3 linked regions of the Danio rerio genome follow. The protein of the gene in region 1 interacts with the protein of each later gene in a biochemical or structural test. Links are inferred from orthologs where the notes say so. Each region holds a gene or a part of one and is shown in the gene's direction. Other genes may lie near its edges.

What was found.
Region 2: of the proteins of chuk (region 1) and cops5, one has a biochemical effect on the other in vitro, tested with the Homo sapiens proteins (2 studies listed by BioGRID). The link is inferred for Danio rerio from reciprocal best matches to the Homo sapiens genes CHUK and COPS5.
Region 3: the proteins of chuk (region 1) and bcl10 form a complex in vitro, tested with the Homo sapiens proteins (2 studies listed by BioGRID, with this or other methods). The link is inferred for Danio rerio from reciprocal best matches to the Homo sapiens genes CHUK and BCL10.

The regions. Positions count from the first base shown.
Region 1 is NC_133188.1:28,590,052-28,598,341, forward strand, and holds the end of chuk (inhibitor of nuclear factor kappa-B kinase subunit alpha), read left to right. Parts: coding exon 1-19; intron 20-105; coding exon 106-167; intron 168-351; coding exon 352-461; intron 462-540; coding exon 541-590; intron 591-753; coding exon 754-862; intron 863-946; coding exon 947-1,094; intron 1,095-3,180; coding exon 3,181-3,308; intron 3,309-6,270; coding exon 6,271-6,370; intron 6,371-6,460; coding exon 6,461-6,520; 3' UTR 6,521-7,408; downstream 7,409-8,290.
Region 2 is NC_133199.1:27,633,343-27,642,374, forward strand, and holds the start of cops5 (COP9 signalosome complex subunit 5), read left to right. Parts: upstream 1-4,140; 5' UTR 4,141-4,320; coding exon 4,321-4,457; intron 4,458-4,558; coding exon 4,559-4,793; intron 4,794-6,316; coding exon 6,317-6,445; intron 6,446-6,842; coding exon 6,843-6,908; intron 6,909-6,990; coding exon 6,991-7,076; intron 7,077-7,191; coding exon 7,192-7,303; intron 7,304-9,032. Other genes in the region: pign (GPI ethanolamine phosphate transferase 1), read right to left, coding at 34-140, 222-320, 395-516, 2,625-2,851. UniProt on the Homo sapiens protein: Probable protease subunit of the COP9 signalosome complex (CSN), a complex involved in various cellular and developmental processes.
Region 3 is NC_133177.1:2,090,020-2,098,911, forward strand, and holds the start of bcl10 (B-cell lymphoma/leukemia 10), read left to right. Parts: upstream 1-2,745; 5' UTR 2,746-2,924; coding exon 2,925-2,975; intron 2,976-5,502; exon of another isoform or gene 5,503-5,614; coding exon of another isoform or gene 5,615-5,638; intron 5,639-5,764; coding exon 5,765-6,053; intron 6,054-8,531; coding exon 8,532-8,892. Other genes in the region: exosc4 (exosome complex component RRP41), read left to right, coding at 167-526. UniProt on the Homo sapiens protein: Plays a key role in both adaptive and innate immune signaling by bridging CARD domain-containing proteins to immune activation.

The DNA.
Region 1 (8,290 bases):
CAGATGCAGTATGGCATATGTACGTTTTTGAATATGCTGCTTTGTTGATAAAGCTAAAAATGTGTTATTGCATTATTGATTAGTAATAATCCATTTTTTTTGTAGCTTCAGAAAAGATGCTGAAGGCTTGGCACGAAAATGAAGAGAGGGCTGCTGCTTTTGCACAGGTGCTGTGAATGAATGATACACAAAGTAGTTTTAAAACCTTTAATAAATAGTCATCTAAGTGGATTTCACATTTTTGTAAAAAAAAAAATCTTTTTGACCAGCATATCTGTTGTGCAAATGTATTTGTATGTGGGTTTACATTTGTTTTAACTACAACTAAAACAACTTTTTTATCTTCTGAAGGTGGCAGAGATTGGTCATCTGGATGAGGAAATAATGGCGTTGCATTCGGAAATCGTTGAGTTACAGAGAAGTCCTTATGCTCGTCGTCAAGGAGATGTCATGGAGCAGTTGTGAGAACCTTTGTTCAGAAATAAGCTTTGTGAAGTTTATCAGCATTTATTTTGACATAAAATCTTGTTTTCATCACAGGCAAGAGAAAGCCATTGAACTCTACAAACAGTTGAAGGCAAAATGCAAAAGTGAGTACAATTCTGTTTGCATATTTACTTTTCAAGTCAATGACAATCCCTCTGTGTCCTTTTCCAAGTAGTCAAATACTCGAAAGAAAGTAATGCATCATCATTGGTTGCATTAGTAAGTCAAGAGGGTCAGTGTATAATGTATGTTCTTCATTTCCTCTAGTGCCAGACCCTCAGCATGGCTACAGCGACAGCTCTGAGATGGTGAAGGTCATAGTACAGACTGTCCAGAATCAAGACCGGGTGCTAAGAGATCTATATGCACACCTCAGGTAAAAAACTTTTAATGCCACTCATTTATGTTCAAATGGATTATACAGTTAAGGTATTTTACTTTTCAAATTTGGCCTTTGCAGTAAAATCCTTCTGAGTAAGCAGAAGATCATCGACCTCTTCCCTAAAATCGAGAGAACGCTGGAATGCATAAAGGAGGCAGACACCACAGTCATGCAGATGCAGATCAAGAGACAGAGAGAGTTCTGGCACTTACTGAAGATTGCCTGTGTGAGTCACATGCTTTTAATGTCTGAAGGACAGATATGCTTTTAATTTGCACATGAGCCACATGATCCCGGACTTTCCAGGGGTAGGGTTATATGCACATTAGTGGTCAGACCGAAATCTTATATTACAAAATGAGTAAAACAAAAAACTACACCATTTAAAAGTTAGGTGTGATTTTTAGTAAGGAATATTGTATGTCTTGGTCATTGTTCTCACTAAATAAAACCTGAGGCATATTCTGCAAAATGAACCGGCTAGATATACATTATTCTGTTCATTACACAGCTTCTTTCCTCAAAACTAAACAAGTAGACCCAGCTGACATAAAAACGGCTGAATATAGCCCACAGTAACCTACTTATTAGTAAGCGGCAATATGGCACCAAGCTATAAAGAACAGTAGGGTGAAAGATAAAGATATTAATATTAACACTTTTTAGATAACATTGGTCTGTAACGGTTATGCAATTGACCCTTTGCAGGCAGTTTGATTGACAGGTGATCTGGCCAATCATAATGCCAAAATTTTGCACCTCGTCACAGCGCGCCAATTTCTTTGACAAGCAGAACAACCAGACTAAACAGGCATAGTGAAGTGACATCTTTGATTGTAAAATTGTCAACATGTGCTTGTAATTGACTTGCAGTGCAGATAGCATGTACCCAGAAAGGCTGGGCAAATGTTTAATATTTTCTGAAAGGAGAGTATGAAATGGGTACATTTGTGTGGACGACTCTGCTACTCATTTGAATTGAGAAAGTATTCATTTATGATCACTTTTTAGTCATATCACATTAAAGGGAATTTTATATAAAATCATGGTGTACTCAAGAGTACACAAAACTAATCACTTTCTGGCCATCGGATATTAGGCATGGATATATATATTGCAATCATGATTTTCGCAAGTAATGTATTACTTTGTAAACGTTTATTATTGATGAGCCTCCCTATACAGTGTGATATGGCGATTGAATCCAGAAGCTGCTTCTCATGATGTCAAACCACACTAAACAAGTGGATAGTTTTATCCTGAAGTAATGCGTTAAGTTTCTGGGTTTTTTTTAATAGAATTTAATGTGTATAGAAAATAAGTATGACTACATGAGCAGAATATCCACAGAGTGGAATATTAAGCTATTTTGAACTATTAAACACACAAGCTGTGGCTGCCCTGTATAGATAATAAAATTCTGTTGTTTTAAACCTCATTAGAGAATCCTAAAAATATACATGGTTTCCATAAATATTATGCAGCACAACCATTTTCAACATTGATCAATAAAGCTTCAAATGAGTATATTAGAATTGTTACCCGTTACACATACTTAAAGTTGTAATTACCATAGTTTTTGACATAATCGCATGCAGCTAAACCTAAGCCTTTTTCTAACTCTAACCATTGTGTAACACTGAAGATTTGAGTACTGATGCTGAAAATTCAGCTTTACCAGTAAAGAAATTGAGCATATTTTAAAATAACACTAGAGTATAGGAGACTTCTTTCAGCCATTTCTGCAAATCTTTCTAAACCCAAACTTTTCATTGATGGAAGATGAGTTGTAACAAACTCTACTACTGAGATAGTATACCCTCACAGCCTGTTAATGAATACTCCATTTTTCCACACAATGTGATTGACCATTTTATACAAATTTAAAGAAGAGATGCAAGTATTCTTTTAAACTATCTTTTAGGTCATCTTTTGTTTGTTTTTCTGTCTCAGTTTCTTTTCAGACTACAAAACAACAATCCAGTTCAATGTTGACACCTAGTGGACAAACTAAGTACTGCAAAAACAATTAAAAGTGCATGTGAACTGTGCATAGATTACATGCATTACGCTTATGCTGTGCTAAATTCTTGTATCACTGTATGCAAACAGTAGCTTTACATGTATTTATTTATTACCATTAAAAATGTAAACAACTCAAACTACTTTTATAAAATACCATATGTTGACTTTTAAATTCTAATAGGAAGAACAATTTAAATACAAAGCAGTTGTCAAATAACCACTATATCCACAGCTATACATGTTTATGTTCTTTACATAATCAACAAATGTAACTGGTTTGTATTCAGGCACAAAACACCACACGGAGCTCAGTGAGTCAGAGCGGAGAAATGCCCTCCTCGCTGTCTACGTGGAACCAGACTCAAGCCCAGTGTTCCTCCCGTCTCCCCATGTCCTTGCAAGTGCCACACGAGGGGTATGTTTTTCTTCCAGACCTTCTTTTTTATGAATTATATATATTATAATATAGAATGATCAAATTGTTAAAACAATGACGTAATTAATCACGCTTTTTTTGTAATTAATCATGATTAATCACGAAACGCCATATTTATTACAGAAATAAAAACACAGGCATGTTAGTGCCTTATGAATTTCAAAACAATCACTGCAAATAACAAACAAAAATGATTTCCTTGTTGGATTTTAAGTGGACTACATACACACACGCACAGAGCAGCGCACACGGTGAGCGAGGAATCCCTTCAGATTCATCAACACGCACAATCGCGTTCATCACATTTGCTTTAACTAAGCATTCTAAAGTATGGCTGTCTTTTACATGCAAGGATTCTGACACAGCAACATGAAGACGCTTTACAAAAGTTGCGTGTAGAGGGGAACACGTCACACTTATGAAATGTGAGGGCTCATGGAAACAGCTTGAAGCCAGAGAATAGGGCTGTCTTTGACAGTTTGCGACTTTATCTGCCACTTTCACTTGATATACATTTACATGGACCCCAATACTCCGCTTTTTAAGATAATACTGATTAAGAGTCTACCATGTAAGCAGCGATTTTTGATTACCTTAAAGCAGGGGTGGCCAACCCTGTTCCTGGAGATTGCAACCCATGTCAAACACACCTGCCTGTAATTATCACATGGTATTCAGGTCCAAATTAATTGGTTCAGGTGTGTTTGATATGGGTAGCAACTGAAATCTGCAGGAAGGTGGCTCTCCAGGAACAGGGTTGGCCACCCCTGCCTTAAAGGATCATGCAAGTCACGGAATGCAGAGGCTTTTCTTTTCGTTCGCCATGCAGTATCAAATTCCATTTAAACATCCTGAATGAAAATATGCTGAATGAAAGTGAACTGCTGAACTGCAGTTAAAGTCTAAAGATTAAAAATGAAACACCCGAAATTGCATGAAACTCTGGAGGAAATGCTGGATAGCCTGGTGATGCGACATTAATTGTTTTAACTGAAACTTGGTCTTATCCAAATTTCTTTGCATGATAAACACACGCAGGGCCAGAGCAAGTTGAGCTTGCGCTCAAGGCAAGCGGCAATCACGCCACCCTCAACCCGAAAGTGAAAAAGAAAGTGGCCGTTTCGCAGATGTACACAAGGACCGTGAGGGAGGGGGTGGGTGTAGCAGATTAAAGTGAGGACTGGGGGGTTCGCTCACTATTCTGCTGCCCAAGGCGGCCGCCTAGGTCGCCTCTATGCATGCTCCATCCCTGAACACACGTCGGCCACAACACGAAATATACATACAGAAAAATATACATTGCAATATGTGAAGGCATCATCACCGGTGACGGGTAATGCTTGAATTATAAATGTCTAACTGTTGTCCTAAGATGCATCAATCACATCAGGTTTCCACTTTATTCTTGTACTTAAATGGTAAAGTTTGAGACTCCTGCTTTAAACTCTCTTGGGCCTGAATGCTTACACAGTCACAGCCTTAAAAAAACACATGCAAAGGATAAACCTTCACTCCATTAGTTGAACTCTGCAGTGAAAGCCCACAGGTTTTAAACTGTGGCTCTTAGTCAACTAAAATCCCAGCATATGATTTCAACATTGCGATGTGATTATTGTAGTTACGCACATTAAGCATACACCCGGCGCAATGTGGCGCAAGGCGGGGTGCAGTAGTCTTTTGGTAGTTTCAGCTTGGCGCAAGAGTCGTTTTGAGGCGTTGCGCTACGCTGTTTAAATAGCAAATGCATTAGCGCTCATTTGTGCGCCCATAAGCGTTCTGGTCTAAAAAGGAAGGCGCACTGCTGGCGCGTTGCTATTTTAAGAAACTATAATAGATTTTTCATTAGACCAAAACTAATTCGGTCTAAACTCCGGCGCAGAGTTGTGCCTCGCTTACACACGGCTTAATACGCACAAGAGAGCAATAGGCAAATATCTTTACATATGAAAAAATTTAAATATTAAGGATATATATAGGATATAATAAGAATAGATATAAATATAAAGGATTAAAATATTACGAAACATATTATTTTCTAGCCTACATACATATGAAAAACCACTGCTTTTATGTCTTCTTCATCTCGGGAGGCTTTTTCAGTTCATTCATAACAATTTGCTTTTGTATAATGGTATTATTATTAGCAGTATTATTTAATATATCCATATTTATATTTGTTTTATTAAAAACAAGCTTAGATTTGCCCACCTGTCAGGTTTAAGACCATATGAGGCACAGCATGTGTTTTAGGATATAACTCAGGTTTTTGAGCACATTTTGTTATTATTGTTCATTTATTCGTTTGCTGGAAATTAGAACTGAATTTAGAAATAGTTTTGAAACGAATATTTGCGCTTAACAAACAAAATTAATTATTTATAGACTAATTGATGTCTGTGCGTAAAGGTTTCCCTATCCAAGAGAGAATGTGAAAGTAGATCCATTATCTCTCATTCTCACGCAGTAGATGCTCTGTTTAACAGTTTTCTGTTAAAAAACTGTCAACTGTTAAGTGTTTGCTTGTGAAATGCTCATTTTTTTCCACTTAAACTTACTTTGCGTCCTGTAAATAGCGAATGCGCTCTTGGCGCGACGCAGCTGACTCTTAAAGGTAATGGGAGATGAGACTCTAATTGGTTTATTCTCAAAACACACCTATAACTCATTAAGAAAATAAACTCAACCCTTTTAGACCATGCGCCACTGCGCAAAGTGGATTTTCTCGTCCTTAAATTAGCAAAAACGCGTTCTGACACTCCCTGAAAGCGTTTGCGCCCTGCGTTTTGCGCTCTGCGCATGGACCGTCAAAATAGAGCCTTAAGATGTTGATGAAATGAAATATTGTTTAGCTCTACTATTGTAATTTTAGCATGACTTCCTTGGTTTTAAAGCACCATGGCTGTGTTTATCAATATGTTTGATGCTGAATGTTTATTTCCAGTGATTCAGTTAATCATTTACTGGAGGAGAATCAGCGTTACTTGACTCAGCTCACCAGTTTACTGCAAGAAACCACCGAGGAGAAATCGGAGAGCATAATGGTAAGGGGCTTTTATTTAAAAGCAGACTTCTTGTGTATTGTGAAATGCATAGAAATTCATGACATCACATATTTTCTCTCCTTCATACAGGCTCAGGACTGGAGCTGGACAAAATACGAATCCCTGGTTGCTAAATCACCGCGTTTGTAGAGTCACGTGACAGGAAGTAACTCTTTTAAATGCATTTATTCATCACCGCTGGATTGGGGTTGTGTTAACTCATATGATTCGTTCAACATTAAGTAACTTTGTCGGTGTCTGCATTCAGTTCAAATGAGATTGTACAGTCTTGTAGCAACCTTATATATTTTGGGGGATGCATTTTTAATTGACTTAAAAAAAAAAACATGTAAGCTAAATTCAGGCAGTGTAATTCCAGAAATGTATTTATTTACGTACTCCATCGTTCTCTGTATGGGCTGATTGTACTTTGATTTTAAGTGATGGGTTGTTGTTTTTTTTAATATGGTGGTTCAGCATCTGCACTTTAAAGGCTCACTGTGAATGTTCGGAAAGGTGTCAGGACTAACAGTGAAATTGGTCATGTTCAACTGCCATTTTGAAATGTTACTAAAGGCCTAAGTTTTAAAAAAGGATTAAATTGGTCTAAATGAAAAGCAGAATAATCATTAAGTTGATTAATTCATTAACTCTTCAACTATGAGAATGAGTTTTAGGAGAATGTTTTATCAGACGTGTTCAGATCAGTTTAGTATTGACGACAGCAGACATCTTATTATCAGGTTATTATGGTGGTTATTGAATGTGGATATTCATCAGTGGGCAAATTATAATAAATTAATTTCGTCCATCTTACTCCCTATTTAAATCACATTTTCAGACATGTTTTTTTTTTCCCGAGGATGATTAGTGTCACACAAACAAAAACTGTTGTACAATGTTTTGCATAATATCATTATTTTGTTTTTGTTGGATTATTATTGGATGATATTTCAGACATGGGTTAAAAGCATCTTATTAAAAACACTTTGGTTTTATCGTGTTTACTGTACATGACAAATAAACTGATATCCATTACTTTGTCTCTTGTGAAGAGGTTTTCTTCTGATTGCAGCAGTCGGATGGAATGCTTTTCCAGTAATTCATTGCAAAAATTGAAAAAAACTTGTTGTATTTCATAAATAGTCTATATAAAGATCCATATCTTTTAATAAGACATATTAATACTTGGGGATAAATAGATTACCTATATCACACACTATATTATTCATTTGCTGAGACAGATGTCAGTGTTTCCATGAGGAGTGTTTAAATAGAATGATTTGTCTTATGATGTATACTGTATAAATCCTGCAAAAAACAAAACACGTCAATATGCATATATTTTACAATTACTGAATTTGAATGCACTTTGCACTGTCAAATGCGGTTTTCATTTTAAATATAACGTTTCAGAACAGATTCATAATTCATTCATTAAATTCTGCAACCCAGCACTGCGAAACATCCATACACAATCTATTACACACTACACACAATGGCCAATTTAGTTTATTCAATTCACCTTTACCGCATGTCTTTGGACTGTGGAAGAAACCGGAGCATCTGGAGAAAAACCCACGTGGAGAACATGCAAACTCCACACAGAGGTGTTAACTGACCCAGCTGGGATCGCACCAGCGACCTGCTTGCTAACCACTGAGCCGCCTTGTCGCCCGATTCGTGATCATATTATTATTATTATCATTATTTTTTCATTATAAGAAATTAAGGATGTTCGGTTGATTAAAAATCATTTTCCAGACTGCGCTCATCTTTTCATAGACGACTTTTATTTTGAAATAAAGAAGCGTCTGATGTTTCGTCATTAGATCATAAGACATGCCCTCTATGGCTATAAATCACCAATAAATACACCAACTTCCCTTTCATCTTCGAAATTTGTGGCACAGTCATTGA
Region 2 (9,032 bases), on another chromosome or scaffold:
TGAATATGAAGTGATTGCACAAGAGCGTCCTACCTTCACTTCATCAAACACCCATGTGTCGAGTCTGGAAGCATCAGTGGAGGCGAAGTCCTCTCGCTCTGGAGGGTAAGTGTGAGTGTAGACATGGTCTCCAGTGGCACCTACAAAACACACATGCTGATAAGACCACCAGATAAAAACAACATGCTTCCCCAGACCAACTCGTAGGTGTGTGGTTATACCTTTAGCAAACATTGGCAATATATCAGGGCTTCCCCAACACCAGGTATATCTGCTCTCATTAAAGACAGAATCAAACTCCACTGGATTCTCCTTCCAGCCTGGAAACACAGGCGCACATGATTGATTTTACACACATAGAAAGCTAGATACAAACACAGATATGACTGCTTACCCTTGGCAACAGCACTAACGTCCTCATAAAAGCCTGCTATTAGAGCGACATGTCCTGGGCGTGATTCAGTAGGGACCCGTGTGTGTGAAACTCCCCATGTGCCGCCCTCTTCAATCACACTCCTTATGACAGGAAACAGCATGAAGGAAAAAAAAAGCACAAATAAATAAAACAATATACCTGTATACACCAAGGGCCTTATTATACACCCGGCGCAATTAGGCGCAAGATGTGTTTGCCGTGGTTTGTTCCAATTTTCAGACCAGTGCAAACCTAATTTTCATGTTTTTGGGCCATGTTGTTTAAATAGCAAATCCATTTTTGCCACTTTGTGGACTCATGAGTGTTCAGCTCTATAAGGGGGGTGCATTAAGGAGCTTTGTTGGAGCGCTGCTATTTTGAGGAACTGAAATATTCTGCGCCACTAACCAAGTCCAGCGCATATGCCATTCCAAAAACACGTACACATTACTTAATACACACAGGATGTGCAGCAATACACAAATATGAAAAAATTTAAGGATTAAAATATTACAAAAATTAATATTTTCTTTATAAATATAACAACCACTACCTCCATGCCCTCTTCACCTTGGGGGGCTTTTTGTATAATTTGCATTTGTATGATGTTAAATTATTAATACTAATATTTATTATACACAAATTTATATTTGTTTTAACAAAGGTTTAGATTTGTCCACCTGTCAGGTTATGGAGACGTATGCAACACCATATGGGGCATAAGAATAGTATGTGTGTTTGGATATAGCTCAGATTTTTGACTACACTTTGTTATTATTGTTAATTTATTCCTTTGCGGGAAATTAGAACTGAATTTAGAAATAGTTCTGAAACAAATCTCTGTGCTTAACAAACGAAATTAAATATGTAGTTTGTGCAACACCGTTTCCTTGTCCACGAAAGTAAATGAGTAAGGTTAAGAGTAAAGTAAAATAAAGAGAAAGTAAAGAGGTCGAATGGAGGTGGCTCATTCTTTATCCTTGAACAGATGGTCTGTTTAACTGTTTTCTCGCTAGTAAAGCATTCAGTTTTTCCACTTACAAAGTTCATCATGTAAATGATGTAAAACGCACCCTGGCATGACGCAACTGACTCTTAAAGGAAATGGGAGATCAGACTTTCAAACAGAGATTGTTTAAATGCACGTTATGCTCAAAACACACCCAGAACTCATTAAGAGAATAAGCACAACCCTGTTAGACCAAACTGTACTGATCTGTCCTTAAAATAGCAAAAGTGGATTCAGTCACGCCCTTAATGCTTTTGTGCCATGCGCTTTAGACTTTGCCCCTAAATTGTTAAAATAGAGGCCCTAATGTATGACAGGCATAAACTGGTGGGAAGGGGAGCTCATTAGTGGTCCTTAAGATGACGTTAAAGTAAAAAGAAATATGGTAAAATTAATAGTAATACTTTACAATAAGGTACATTAGTTCATGCATTTACTAACATGAACAAATAATAACAACACATACAGTATTAAATGCAGCTTTGTTAACTCTAATTAATGGCAATAAAGTTATGTAATCTTAGTTCACATTAACTCACTGTATTAAACAATGTTAACAAGCATGAATTAGGATTTTAATAACGCATTAGTAAATGCTGAACTATGATTAATAAATGCTGTACAAGTATTGTTCATTATTATTAGTTCATGTTAGTAAATACATAAACATTTAACTAATGAAACATTATTGTAAAGTGTGATCAGAAAAACTTTATCCAACAGAATAATGAATAAATAAATACATGCATAAAATGTAATTAGTAAATTAAGTTGTACTATATGCATTTTATTTAGTGTAAACTAAATTAAGTAGTTTTACCTATAAAATACATATCTATTTTGTTTGTTTTTACACAATATACTGTATGAGGATGTGTTTTTGTAAAAATGTAACTTCTACTATGCTATTAAATAGATTTAACACTTAGATACATATAACTCTGAATGAATGAATGAATGAATGAATGAATGAATGAATGAATGAATGAATGAATGAATGAATGAATGAATGAATGGAATATTAAATGCAATGCTTAGGTGAATTTTTTTTTTTTTTATGAAATCATGAAGGATGGTGAATATTTTTAACATTAAGCATGACTAATAGATATTATTTAGACATTAATGACTAACATAAACAATTCTGAACTCTCTGGAGCACATGGGTAAACAGGACAAAGATTATCCAGTGTTCGTCACCTTAGGTAAGGAGCCCTGGATGTCCCACTGTCGTCTGGCTTAAAGAGGCTGTCGGCCCTCAAACCATCTGCCACAAACAGCACCAGGCGCTTGGCCGGAGGGGGCAGAGAGACCCGCTGAGGAGTCATTCCATGGACAAGAGGAGATGTGAAATAAATGTCAAATATGCAGAGAAAGAAGACTACATGCACAATGAGTCCCACAACGAAGAATGTCACCATCTTCATCTTGTCTCCAGTCAGACCTTTGACACTGATTTACAAAAAGAAGATACACAAATGAATTTATGAAAACATTCTGTTATTAGTCTAATAGATTTTTATTATGAATTAGTTTTACATTAGCAGGACAGTAGGTTCAAATAAGTTATATTGTACAACATTTTTTTAAAAGTAACGTTAGGGGTTTATTTAAGATTGTACTTACCTTTCTGCTAATTTGAGATTGAAACAGATTCATAAAGCTGATTAGTTGAAGGTGGACAGAAGACATATAAAGGTATCATGTAACGTTAATCTGTCAATGAAAGCACCGGGCAGAGCAGGAGTGCGCGGGAACGAAACGCCCTGAAGCAAAACCCGCGCATGGGCTTTTAATCTGTTTTAAGGTGCTTTTGTATCTTTGAGTTCTGACCTGCTAAACCAAATAGTTTGTAAGAAGATTAACTGAGAACTTTTCTGCACTTCCTTGTAGCAGTAACCTTTGAACTGTGTCTGCGCAGTGCATTTTGGGAAATGTAGTTTTTAACGCCACGTTAATATTTTCATAAAAACAAAAGAGGTGCTTTAAAATGCCAGCGAGTTTATGACTGTTTACAACTTTATTTGATTCAACTGAAATTTCTCCCTTTTTACAATAAAAAATTGCACAAAAAAAATAAAAAAATAAAAATTTAGAATAAAATATATAAAAAGAAACGTAAATTTTAAATGCTTTAAACAATAAATTAGTTTAAAATAAACAATCAAACATTATATTGAGATATAAAATAAAAAATAAACAATTTAATAATTGTAAAAAATAATGAAATAACTGACACAAATATGAGTACATAACATATTATAAATTATCCAACATGCAATTTTTAAAAATATTAAAACAATTGACAAATAAAGACAAATAAATACAAGTTTAATTAAAGAGGATAATTATTTTTTAAGAAAGTAAATGTGTTAATAATTAATATATTCAGAAATACAATATCATAATTCTATAATATAATACAAATAGAAATAGACCAAATATGACCTCTATTATTTGCAAATAATTAGGTAGATCAATTTTTAACACTATTTTGTCACATTACGAAGTGGGTCATTAAACAGAAATGACATAGATCGAACCATATCTTAGATAAACAACTAAACAAAAACGAATATATCAAGAAACAGTGGCGGTGCCATAGACTGTAAAACAGTAGCGGTCGGTTTGCGTTCAGGACTCTTATTTTGGCATCAATTTTATTCCTTAGTAACCCGTACGGTCGCTCGCTTCGCTTCACTCAGGTTGTAGAGTTGTTCAGAAAAGGAGTACTGCAAGAGCTTTGTTAATTATTGCTAAATGATCTATTTAAATAGTTAGATAAACTACACAATTTTAACATTATCTAGCTCTTCATATTTTATTAATTGCGAGTGTTATTAATCATACTTCGTTATAGTCGAACAGAAGATATAAGCCGACTGTAGTATTAGCTATGGCTGGCAGTAGCATAGCGATGAAAACATGGGAGCTGTCAAACAGCATGCAGGAAGTTCAGAGTATCGACGAAATATATAAATATGACAAAAAACAACAACAAGAAATTCTGGCGGCCAAACCGTGGACTAAAGAGTAAGTAAACAAAACCAAAATGATGTCTCCTAGAGGCCCGGCTTGTTTTCGAATTATTAATACCACTGTTGTGTAACCTACACTGTTTTAATTGTTTACAGTCATCATTATTTTAAATACTGCAAGCTATCGGCGTTGGCACTGCTGAAGATGGTGATGCACGCTAGATCTGGAGGAAACCTGGAGGTGATGGGACTTATGCTGGGGAAGGTGGATGGAGAGACCATGATCATCATGGACAGTTTTGCTTTACCAGTGGAAGGCACTGAAACCAGAGTCAACGCTCAGGCTGCAGCCTATGAATACATGGCTGCTTATATAGAGAATGCTAAACAGGTACACTGACTTATAATTACTCTAAAATTCATATTAGATGAATAGTGATAAATATAAGCACAGTTTGTTTATAAACATGATCATATCCACTGCTTTATATGTGGAGCATGTATGCTGATCTTTAAGATTTTCTAATCAAGAGCAATATCATCACAAATATTTTATTAATTGTTATTTATAATTATTCTGCATTACGTTTTTAGGATTGATCCAATGTTATGTGAGAAGCTACATGTTGTGGTTACCTTTTTAAAACGTGTATATAAAAATTACAATTTAAAGAGTAAAGAAAGTTATTGGTTTGTATTCTGTTTTCATGTTTAGGATTAATAGAGAGAATATATGAAGTAGTTGGACATCTAAATATGTATCGCATCACAGAACCATTTAAATCTAATAAACTCGAATGTGATTTAAAAAAAAATCTAAAATAAAAAGTGAACAGTTACCAGAACTAAAATAAACATGAATTGTATTCCTATACTCCTCTAAAAATCATCCTAGATCTTTTATAATTATTATTTATTTAGTCTTTACTTTCTAATATTAATTGAGAGACGGAACAGAATTCTTGTCACAGGACTTGAAACAAAAAGAAATTGAATGCTATTAAATTAAAAAGGTCTATTTGGAAAGAATGTATAGTTTTCGATACGTTGACATTCTAATGTAAGGGAGTGGGTCCACATAAAATATAATAAACCAATACAGTAGAGAACAAATAGAAAATAAAAGGCAAATAAAATATACAGTGCTTTATGATTTTCTAGAAGTCTAGCAATATTCAGATTTACAAATTTAATAATCCAGTGTGAAACCATTCTAACCATAAAGTTAGAAATGTAATTTCTTTTGCTAGAGTAAATGGTGAAAACGCACAGAAATAGTGAAGGTTTTGGTAACTTTATGGTTGAACGTTGCAATGACTGCACACATCATGAGTGTTTTCAAATGTGGTTCCTGGTCAATTATAATAACGGTTCGACATTGCAGATCCTGCGATGTGACTATTGCAGATGCGCACATTGCGGTATCAATTTTAAAACAGTATATTATGCAGCCCTATTATATAAATATAATTTTTTTTTTTTTTTTATTCAGTTTTCATACTTTACTATTGAGGGACTGCATGCAGTAAGGACACAGATGTGTTTATCACATCAAAGTAATTAATAAATACTACAAAAAATTTAAATACTTAACAGATGCAATACAGGAACAGAAATGAACAAGCAAATTAATTTTTTACTCTAACAATATTTTAAAGATTTTTTATTATTATAATTATCATTAATATTATTATTATTCAGATTGAAAGGTCTAATATTAATTGAGATATATTTGCCATTAAATATGATTTTAAAAATAAAATAAAAAATAAAATTTGACAAGCGACAGGAACTCAAAAATGCACTTTATAAATGTATAAACACATTATGCATCAATTCGCAATAACCAGCATATGAAAGAATTGATATGGAAGTTCAATAATTCTGAGGTTAATTGTCTATATATTTATTTAGGTGGGGCGGTTGGAGAATGCCATTGGATGGTACCACAGTCATCCAGGATACGGCTGCTGGCTTTCAGGCATAGATGTCAGCACTCAGATGCTTAACCAGCAGTTTCAAGAGCCCTTTGTCGCAGTAGTGGTAAGCGCTGTTGGAAATGTTAAACTTGTTGCATATTTTGCTGATTTCCCTCTTTAAAGCGGGTTACCATCCATCTCAAAAGACACAAGGGGAAAACAGCTCCGCTATGAAATAGTTAAAAGTATCGGTTTAAATTCAGCTTTATCAGTGATCCATAATTGACCCTCAAGACACAAATGAGTTGATGACATTTGTACTGCTGTCTGATTAATGACTGTTGCCTTTGTAACAGAATACATTATACAGTTTATCCTTCATTGCTTATGTAGTGCCGAGGGCAAATAGCAAGCTGGCGTTCATAACTTTCACTCGCAAAACTGGCAGCTTACTGTTTTTATTTGTTATATTTGACTGAACTCTTTTGCTAATTTCAGTCCTTGTAATTTTTCATCCTCAGATCGATCCCACAAGGACTATATCCGCAGGGAAGGTCAATCTTGGAGCTTTCAGGACATATCCGAAGGTAGCAACTATTTTTAGGCAACTGTATCTAATTTATATGCGTTTTATAAGATGTTGAATCACATTCAAATGTTTAAAAATAGGGTTACAAGCCTCCAGATGAGGGTCCTTCTGAATACCAGACGATACCTCTTAACAAAATTGAGGATTTTGGAGTGCATTGCAAACAGTAAGTGTGCATGACATATTGAATATATTTCCTTTTTTTTAGCCTTTTTATGCACTTGTTATATTTTGAAAATATATTGACTTGCAGTTAACGATAAGCTGTTGTTTGTTTTTAGGTATTATGCATTAGAAGTGTCTTATTTTAAGTCTTCCCTGGACCGCAAACTCCTAGAGCTGCTGTGGAATAAGTATTGGGTCAACACTTTGAGCTCCTCAAGCCTACTGACAGTAAGCACACACTTTTATTGGTGTAAAATTAATATATATTACATTTAGATATGTGCCAACATCATCTGTCATGTTGGATTACTTAATATAAACGGCATAAATTTAAGTCTAGCCTTTTTTTTTTTTTGCTTGGAATTTGTTCTTAAATCAAAAAATGGCCTGAACCACTGTAAATTGTTACAAAAATATAAATACAAAAAATCCAAAATCTGAATTTCTGACCAGTTTCTAAAAACATCTACAGTAAATGTGATGAAGGGTGACAATATAGCTTTTATGAAGCAGGCATGCATGTATTCATTTCTATTATATAAGAGATTGCAAATACAATGAAAAATTGAGGAGCATAGAAAATCACTTTCAACCTTTTCCCTGTAAATTGTTTAAATTAAAGGGCTTCAGTTCTGAAAGCTACATTATGTTAATTTTAGTTTAAACATTATTATCTTTTCTGCTTGGCACAGAAAGGAAATTTGTCTTTTACACTGGTAACATAAATAAACCGTACAACAATAACATAATAGCAACACTCTTCAAGACAACCATATTAGCCCCATACATATTACTCCAGATTATTCTTAACAACCGCACCGTTCACATTAAACAGTGGTAAGGTTTAATACAACTGCAATAGGGATAAATGACTTCTTATAAGTATTTCTTCATGTTCCATGCATTTTAAGCTTGGTCCCGATGGTAACATTTCAAAAGCTGAGTGAAGGGGATCTGTATTATCTTTAAAAATCACAATTGCTGTTTTTCCCATAAAGGAGTCAAATAAAATCTGTAACGAATGTTGTATGTAAACTGTTTTTGCAATTAAACTGTCAGTTACATTTAGTCATTTAGCAGACACTTTCATCCAAAGCGACTTACAAATGAGGACAAGGAAGCAATTTACACAACTATAAGAGCAACAATGAATAAGTGCTGTAGGCAAGTTTCAGGTGTGTAAAGACAGTGTAAGAAGCAAAACATTAGTACAAGAAGCAAAACATTAGTACAATAATCTCTGCAAAATAAAGTTTTTACAAAGAAGAGAAAAGAATGATTTCAAAATCTGTTGTCCCCAAAAAAGCATTTCCAATGAGAAATTAACCCTCAAATTTTTGCCAAAATAAAGCAAAGTAAAAACAGCATAAATATAATTTTTTTCTCATTTTATAGTTCTATTATTAAGGCTGCATGATGTTGGACTAAAACTCATATTGCAATATTTAGTTTGTCTGCAATGTATATTGCGATAGTAACATACAGTGCTCAGCATATATATGTACACCCTTCACAAATCTGTCTTTTAAATTTTTAATAGGAAGCTTTACAATAATATATGTGTGCATAAACATTAGACTAGTCTGTACTGAAGTCAAATCTGGAGCTTGTCTAACAAAATAACTTACGATAACGGTCCAAAAACTAGTACAGTCAAATTCATATGTTATAAAAAATATTAAATACAAATTTTAAAACAGAAAAAAAAATTAAGTGAAACAAAAAAAAACTGAAAATTTTTGTTGAAATTTTGTAGGTAATAAATATAAATATTTTTTGCATTAATTTGCTTAAATTTAATTGTATTATCTTACAATTTGTAAACATGTTTGGTGACTAAAATATTCTTTTAATAAATATATCTGTTTTATAAATCTGTTTTGTTTAAATGCACCAAAATACATTGCCTATATTTACTGAGAAATGGATACAAATATTCAAAATGGGGTGTATTCAA
Region 3 (8,892 bases), on another chromosome or scaffold:
TGATAATTTTTTCTGTTGAACGTAAGAGCCAGATCAAACTATAACTCATATTATTACAGTTGCAGTACATGACAAGATTCCAAAGACACTTTAAATACTATTACAATTCACATTACATGTAACTGACTACAACAGCACCATGTCTTTGATTTGTCCTGCGCTGTAGATCCTGCAGGCGGACGGTGGAAACTACAGCGCGTGTGTCAATGCTGCTACATTGGCTCTAGTGGACGCTGGGATCCCCATGCGCGATTATGTGTGTGCGTGCAGCGCTGGGTTTGTGGAGGACACCCCGCTGGCAGATCTGTGTCATGCAGAGGAGAGCGGTGGAGGAACAGCGCTGGCTCTGGCTTTGCTGCCTCGTAGTGGAAATATTGCCCTGTTGCAAATGGACGCCCGGCTCCATCAGGACCACCTGGACACACTGATGGAGGCGGCCATGACGGCGTGCAAAGAGTTCAGTAAAGTTCTAGACAGTGTCGTACGGCAGCATCTAGAGGAGGTTTCAGATCTGACCAGAGATTGAGATGGAGATTTAATGGACATCTATGGAGTCAGATCAGTGTCAAAAATAATACATTTACAAAATATAATTTGCTTAAATATGATTCAGAAATACACAAATCCAATTCATTTGGTGAAAATATTATATATGATATTCACTGGTGAATTCATGAACTGTGTGTTGCGTTTATGAATAGTGTTTTGATTTTATGAATTGGATTATGTAATTGTGAATTGTGATGTATGAACTTTTAGTAAATTAATTATTTTTGAGACTGATCTGACTCCATAGGAAATGCTCTATTAATTTGTTATTCATTTAATCTTTGAAGCATGCGCTTGGACTGAAAAAAAAAAACAGATTTGATCGACATGTATGGAGTTAGATCAGTCTCAGAAATAACACATTTACAAAATATAATTCACAAGTTTAAATATAATTAAAAAATACACAAATCCAGTTCATTTGGCGAAAATATTTATGATTTTTACTTGTGAATCTATAAACTGTGTGTTGTATTTATGAATTGTGTTTTGAATTTACGAACTTAATTTTATAAATGTGAATTGCGCTATGCATGTATGAATATCATTTCATAAATGTATTATTTTTGAGACTGATCTGACTCCATAGGAAATGCTTTAGTCATTTATTCTTCATTTTAGTGTCTGAAGCATGCGCTTGGACTGAAAAACACACAGAATTGATAGACACAGAAAAAAATAAGTTTATATATCAGCTTATCCAGAAGAAATGCCACCTAAAAAGCGCTGAACACATTTTGTTATAATAATGTCCTCTGTTGTGAGAGAGTTGTAATAAAACAATGGTATGTTTTTAACAAATGAACACTTTTCCTTTTGTGTTTTATCAAATTAACCATTATTTAATCAGATTTAGTACTCCTAATAAACAGTGGGGATCGAAAGTTTGGGCGCCCCAGGTAAAAATTTGAATTAATGTGCATAAAGAAGCCACGACAAGATGGAAAAATCTCCAAAAGGCTTTAAATTACAGATTAGACATTTTTTTAATGTGTCAAAAAAGTTAAACTTTATTTCCATCATTTACACTTTCAAAATAACAGAAAATAAAAAAAAAAACATTCTGGGAACGTTCTCTGTAGGTTTTTTTTTTTTTTTTGGTAACCAAAATATAACCTTCCCAGAACGTTCTCTGCAGGCTATTTTCAATGGTTAATTTATTACCTACAGAGAACCTTCCCAGAACATTCCCTCTAGGTTTTATTTAGGTTTTTTTCATAACCTTGAGAGAACCTTCCCAGAACGTTCATTGTAGGTTAATTTTGGGATCTATTTTATAACCAAAAGAGAACCTTCTCAGAACGTTTTTTTGTTGATTATAATATCTTGAACTGCCGCCTTTGGCAAGTATCACAGCTTGTAAATGCTTTTTGTACAATTTTAAGTTTACAGTTTACATTTCAGATATAACTTTGTTTCAAATGTTACACTCTAAAAAAACGTTGAGTTATTTATTTAACCCAATAATTAAGTTAAACATATTTGGTGCTTTGTTGGGTTATTTTAACCTTTATTATGTTATTTATTAGTAACTCAACCAGTTGGGTTAAATAGTATGTGCTTTGTTGGGTTATTTTTAACCTTTATTATGTTATTTAATAGTAACTCAACCAGTTGGGTTAAATAGTATGTACTTTGTTGGGTTATTTATATCATAACTCAACCAGTTGGGTTAGAATTTTTAATTTCAACAGTCAACTGATTTAACTGACACAGAACAGCTGTATTAATATGTGCGCTTAATGTTGTTTTTGCATTCTAAAGTTTATTTAAGCTCTTAACGCAATAATATTGTTGTCTTTAGCACCCAGCGGAGACATTTATTTATTTACACTATCATAATTATAAAATTAATAGTAGTAATAGTAATAGAGTAATACCAGAATGAAAAAAAAACATGTATTTAAAATAACCCAATGCATTGAGTTAAAATACCCCATAGTTGGGTTTAATGTTGGGGTATTTTTAACCCAACTATTTTATCAGAGTATGAAAAATGCACAAATACAATCCCAATACAGTAAAAAGAATTAAATTGGAAAACACATGTAGGGGTATATACATCATCACAAATTAAAGGAAAATATTACATAATTTACAAATTTTACAAGTTCTCCCCTGTAAAATGATGACGTGATGCTGGGTTATGGCGTCATTCACAGAAAGTATGTAGGCTATCAATAAGGAAGTTAAAGCGCCGGTAGTTCCCCTTTACTATATGAGAACTACGAGTGGATCCAACGTGTGCTAACAAGTTCGTGTCTGGACATTTTGGCTGATTTCTGGTCGCCGATGTGGAATTTGAAGCACCGTTTTCTTACCGGAACGAGTTAAAAACTGAACAGTAGTGAAAAACAACAAAACGAAAAGAGAGGATGGATGTTACTCACCTGACGGAGGACGAAATGGCCGATATAAAGAAGGAAGTGAGTAAAACGAAACAAAACGCGTTAATGAAATCGAGAATCTATTAATCAGATAATGCCTTCGTAAAAGTAGAAGTGAAAGCGCTGAGGGGCACTGACCACAAACCTGATCGATGCAACCAAACGTTTATCAGGTGTAAAAACCTGAAAGCAAATGATTTCCAAATGAGTTCGTCAAGTTTTTATACTCCGACTTCACTTTATTAGAGTGTGAACTGCTTTATGAAGTACCTAAGACGAGCATATTAATCATATTGGTCTACGAGATTAAATAAACCCACATTAAAACATACTACAGTGGACTAACTTAATTCTGGCAAATATTAGTGTTTATGAACAATGCTAAAGTAGGCTAACGTTACTTGAATTAATCTGTTGTGGTAATTTTGTTGTTGTTATGGTAATACAACAGTATAAACATGTCACAATACTGTAATACATACAACTATACAGTTTACACATAATAGTAGCTTACAATACTAATGTAACACTAATAACACACTGCTAACGTATACTACAGTATTTATAACAGCTTATGAGTTCAATATTGATAAGTAAAATTCATTTATAAAGAGTTCACTAAAGAGTTTAATACACTTAACTATAGTATAGTTCAAAAACATTACTTTTCCAGCATATGTTTTACGCAGCGGATGCCCTTCCAGTACTGGGAAGTATATATATATATATATATATATATATATATATATATATATATATATATATATATATATATATATATTTTTTTTTTTTTTTTCCTTCAGCTTAGTCTCTATTTCAGAGGTCGCCACACAGGTTTCACGCAGCGGATGTCCTTCCAGTATTGGGAAACTTGTAATATATATATATATATATATATATATATATATATATATATATATATATATATATATATATATATATATATATATATATATATATATATATACACAGTTGAAGTCAGAATTATTAGCCCCCTTAATTATTAGCGCCCCTGTTTATTTTTTTTCCCAATTTCTGTTTAATGAAGGGAAGATTGTTTCATCACATTTCTAAACATAATAGTTTTAAAAACTTATTTCTAATAACGAATTTATTTTCTCTTTGATGACAGTAAATAATATTTTAATTAATATTTTAATATTTCAAGACACTTCTATACAGCTTAAAGTGAAATTTAAAGGCTTAATTGGGTTGATGTGGTGAATTTTAAGGTAAAGGTAATTTTGTCCCAAAATGTTTTTTAAAAAATTAATAACTGTTTTTAATCTTGCCAAAATAAAATAAATAAGACTTTCTCTAGAAGAAAAAATATTATCAGACATACTGTGAAAATTTCCTTGCTCTGTTAAACATCATTTGGGAAATATTTAAAAAAATAAAATAAAATCAAAAGGTGGCTAATAATTCTGACTTATATATGTGTGTGTGTATTCTTTTTAAATACTATATATAACTATTGCACTTCAATACACTACAGTTTACAAATTTATACATACACTGCTAACGTATACTACTGTATTTATTACAGATTATAAGTTTAATGTTGATAAGCAGCATTCATTACAAAGAGTTTGCTATACCGTTTAATATACGGTTCAAAAACACTATTTACTAAATATATTTATTTATATAAATTTAATTAATTCATTTTCCTTCGGCTTAGTCTCTATTTCAGAGGTCACCACAGTGGAATGAACCGCCAACTATACTATGGATACCCTTCCAGCCCCAACCCAGTACTGGGAAACTATTTATATACATTTATTTTATATTATATTATATATATATATCTGCCACTATATATATATATATATATATATATATATATATATATGTATGTATATATATGTATGTATATATATATATATATATATATATATATATATATATATATATATATATATATATATATATATATATATATACATACATATATATATACATATATATATATATATATATATATAGTTCAATACACTTAACTATAGTATGGTTCAAAAACACTATTTGCTATATATATATTTATATTATTTTACTATATGTATTATAGTAAAATATATTATATTAAACATAAAAAAGAATTATCTTTTATTAACTTAGCAGATATTTATTTAGTAGGCAGACGCTTTTAATAAACACTACAATTCAACAGAGAGTAGCAGTATATAAATGATATGTAAAGCACAAGCCTACAAGTCAAATTTATTCATTCATTCATTCATTCATTCATTCATTCATTTATTTATTTATTTATTTATTTATTTATTTATTTATCTTTGTTGAATAAGAGAAATCACACTAATCTCTGATCAAATCCTTGACACATGCCCAATAATTTTTGCCTGTCTTAAATGTTCCCTGCTTCAAAAATACTGATATATAATAGCCTCCCTGCAAAGCTCCCTGAAAAACTATGAGCTATTGGGCTTAGTGTTTTAAATGCAAAGTGTGGTCATTTCACATGTTTAATTGATTTAGTAATATAGGTTCATTGATAAATAAAATGTATTTATCAATTATTTTTAAAAGCATCTTCACTTTACAGCATTTTTACACAAGTGCCTAAAACTTTGAACAGCTTTGCTGGTAGGTTTTTGGAAGCATCTTCAAGATGAGCCAGAGTTCTTCTTAACCGAGTTGTCCATCAGACAGACTGGATGATGATCAGATCATCTCTGAAAGTAAACTCACTGTTGAAGTACAATTAATGATCAAAATAATGTCTAACTATTTCAATCTGCCACTAGCCTAAGACTTTTGCACAGTATTGTCAGTGTGTAATCATTAGTTCTTGTCTGTCATCGTAGGCCATAGAAAGGTTGCGACCGTACCTGGTGGATAAGATCATCGCCGACCGTCACTTTGATTATCTGCGCTCGAAGAAGATCCTGACCAGGGAAGACACGGAGGAGATCAGCTGCAGGACCACCAGAGGGAAACGCACCAGCAAACTGCTGGACATCCTGGCAGAAAACCCTCGCGGCCTGGACATGCTCATCGAGTCCATCAAATGGGGCCGAACGCTCAACTTTATCATCGCCAGGATCACAGACGAGGTGCAGCGGGTCAAAAACGAGCGCCTGGAGGCTTTAAAAGGTAACTCTTTACAGGGTTAAAAAGCTTTTCTTATTCCGCTGACACCTGCTTGCAGCTTGTGTTGACAAGTCCACTAGAGGGCGCCATCTACATTTTTGCAAATCTCAAATATGTGACTGAGCTATTTTTTCTCATACATGTCATTTATGTGAGAAGCTGATCAGCTTGTTGGGCATAATATATTACTGACCCATACACCTCCTCCCTAAACTCAACGATAGTGTTTTTAGATGCAAACGAGTAGAGAAAAGAGCATTGCTGGAACATTCTTTTACCATGGTTTTACATTGCTTATTTGTTTTTACCTGGTTTCTAAAACAGTCCAAAGTCTGCCTACACGCCCCAAGTATGACACTGTACGAGGTAAGCTACAGAGCAAACTGACCACTCTGGAAAAGCCGTCTATATTGAGATATTTTTGTGGCATTTATCTATTAACAACCATGCGAAATCGATGCTATCGTTGATAATGTGTCCCTGTAAATCTTTATGCTGTAAATCTTTAAAAGGAACAAAAGTCGGCAGCATCACACCACCATGTAGTGTTCATTTTACCTAGAAAATGCTGGCAAGCACATGCAAAGGCACTTTTTGTGGTTTCCCAAAATATAGCCCTAGCCACATATTCACAATAAACACATATTGGGTGATATGTTTAGGATAAAGTACACCCAGGAGGTTGTTATCACAGAATACATCCCAAGAGGCTTTATTGACAGTCTGACGTGAAGCCGAGCACTGCTGTATAACACTAAAGGGTTTATTCTGCGAAAACAACCATCCTGGATTTACTTTATCCTGCTTATTACATTGCTACTTGCCCCAAAATAGACACATAACATTGTTCTGAGCTGTAATATTTTATTAATTCGTTAATTAAACGCAAAGCGGACAAAAATGAAAACAGCAGATGGAGTATACACTAACCTGCGCATTATTCAGACACTAGATGGCGGCAAACAGTCAAAAACACAAAGCTGACAGAAACTAAAACAGCTGATGGAGTATACACTAACCTGCGCATTATTTAGACACTAGATGGCGCCAAACAGTCAAAAACACAAAGCTGACAGAAACTAAAACAGCTGATGGAGTATACACTAACCTGCGCATTATTCAGACACTAGATGGCGGCAAACAGTCAAAAACACAAAGCTGACAGAAACTAAAACAGCTGATGGAGTATACACTAACCTGCGCATTATTTAGACACTAGATGAAGACAAACAGTCAAAAACACAAAGCTGACACAAACTAAAACAGCTGATGGAGTATACACTAACCTGCGCATTATTTAGACACTAGATGAAGACAAACAGTCAAAAACACAAAGCTGACACAAACTAAAACAGCTGATGGAGTATACACTAACCTGCGCATTATTTAGACACTAGATGGCGCCAAACAGTCAAAAACACAAAGCTGACAGAAACTAAAACAGCTGATGGAGTATACACTAACCTGCGCATTATTCAGACACTAGATGGCGGCAAACAGTCAAAAACACAAAGCTGACAGAAACTAAAACAGCTGATGGAGTATACACTAACCTGCGCATTATTTAGACACTAGATGAAGACAAACAGTCAAAAACACAAAGCTGACACAAACTAAAACAGCTGATGGAGTATACACTAACCTGCGCATTATTTAGACACTAGATGAAGACAAACAGTCAAAAACACAAAGCTGACACAAACTAAAACAGCTGATGGAGTATACACTAACCTGCGCATTATTTAGACACTAGATGGCGCCAAACAGTCAAAAACACAAAGCTGACAGAAACTAAAACAGCTGATGGAGTATACACTAACCTGCGCATTATTCAGACACTAGATGGCGGCAAACAGTCAAAAACACAAAGCTGACAGAAACTAAAACAGCTAGTGGAGTATACACTAACCTGCGCATTATTCAGACACAAGATGGCCCCAAACAGTCAAAAACACAAAGCTGACAGAAACTAAACCAGCTGATGGAGTATACACTAACCTGTGCATTATTTAGACACTAGATGGCGGCAAACAGTCAAAAACACAAAGCTGACACAAACTAAAACAGCTGATGGAGTATACACTAACCTGCGCATTATTTAGACACTAGATGGCGCCAAACAGTCAAGAACGCAAAGCCGAGAGAAACAAAACTGGCTGAATGGAGAATATACTAACCTACATATGATTTATTCACAAGACAACACTAAACAGTCAAGAACTGTTGCGTAATACACAAGCAGATACATTCTCAGTTCCTGGATGAGATTGTGTTATTTAGCGGTTGTTATCTGAGAATAACACACCCTGGAATATCACAACTGACCAATCACAATCGAGTATTCCAGACAGCAGTGTAATAAATATTGTTATCGTGATATGTGATGACTTGTATAATGATTTCAGATTTTTTTTTGTCATATTGCCCAGCCCTAGTTTCCATTCAGTTTATTTATGTATTTCATATTTTTACTTATTACAGCGGGGTCCAACTCGGCTTACCCGACCACAAAAGGAGCAACCAATGACTTCTCCAAAATGGACTCGGACTATGATAAATACTCCACTATGTGTTTACATCCTGAAGGCGAAGCCAGTTCCTCGTCCTCTGTGGCGACGGGATCCTTTAACCTGCGCTACAGCTCCACTCGGGGGAACGAGGCTCTAATGGTGAGTGGAGGTTCGGGTACTATGAACGTCTCCAGCACATCATCGATCCTTCCTAAACCAGGAGACCCCGGAGCTCCAGCCCTGCCCGAGGAGATGGAAAACGACGAGCAAGACATGGACGGCGGCGTATGTAAAAGTGCTGGAAGTAGCGGAGATGCTAACTTCCAGCCGCT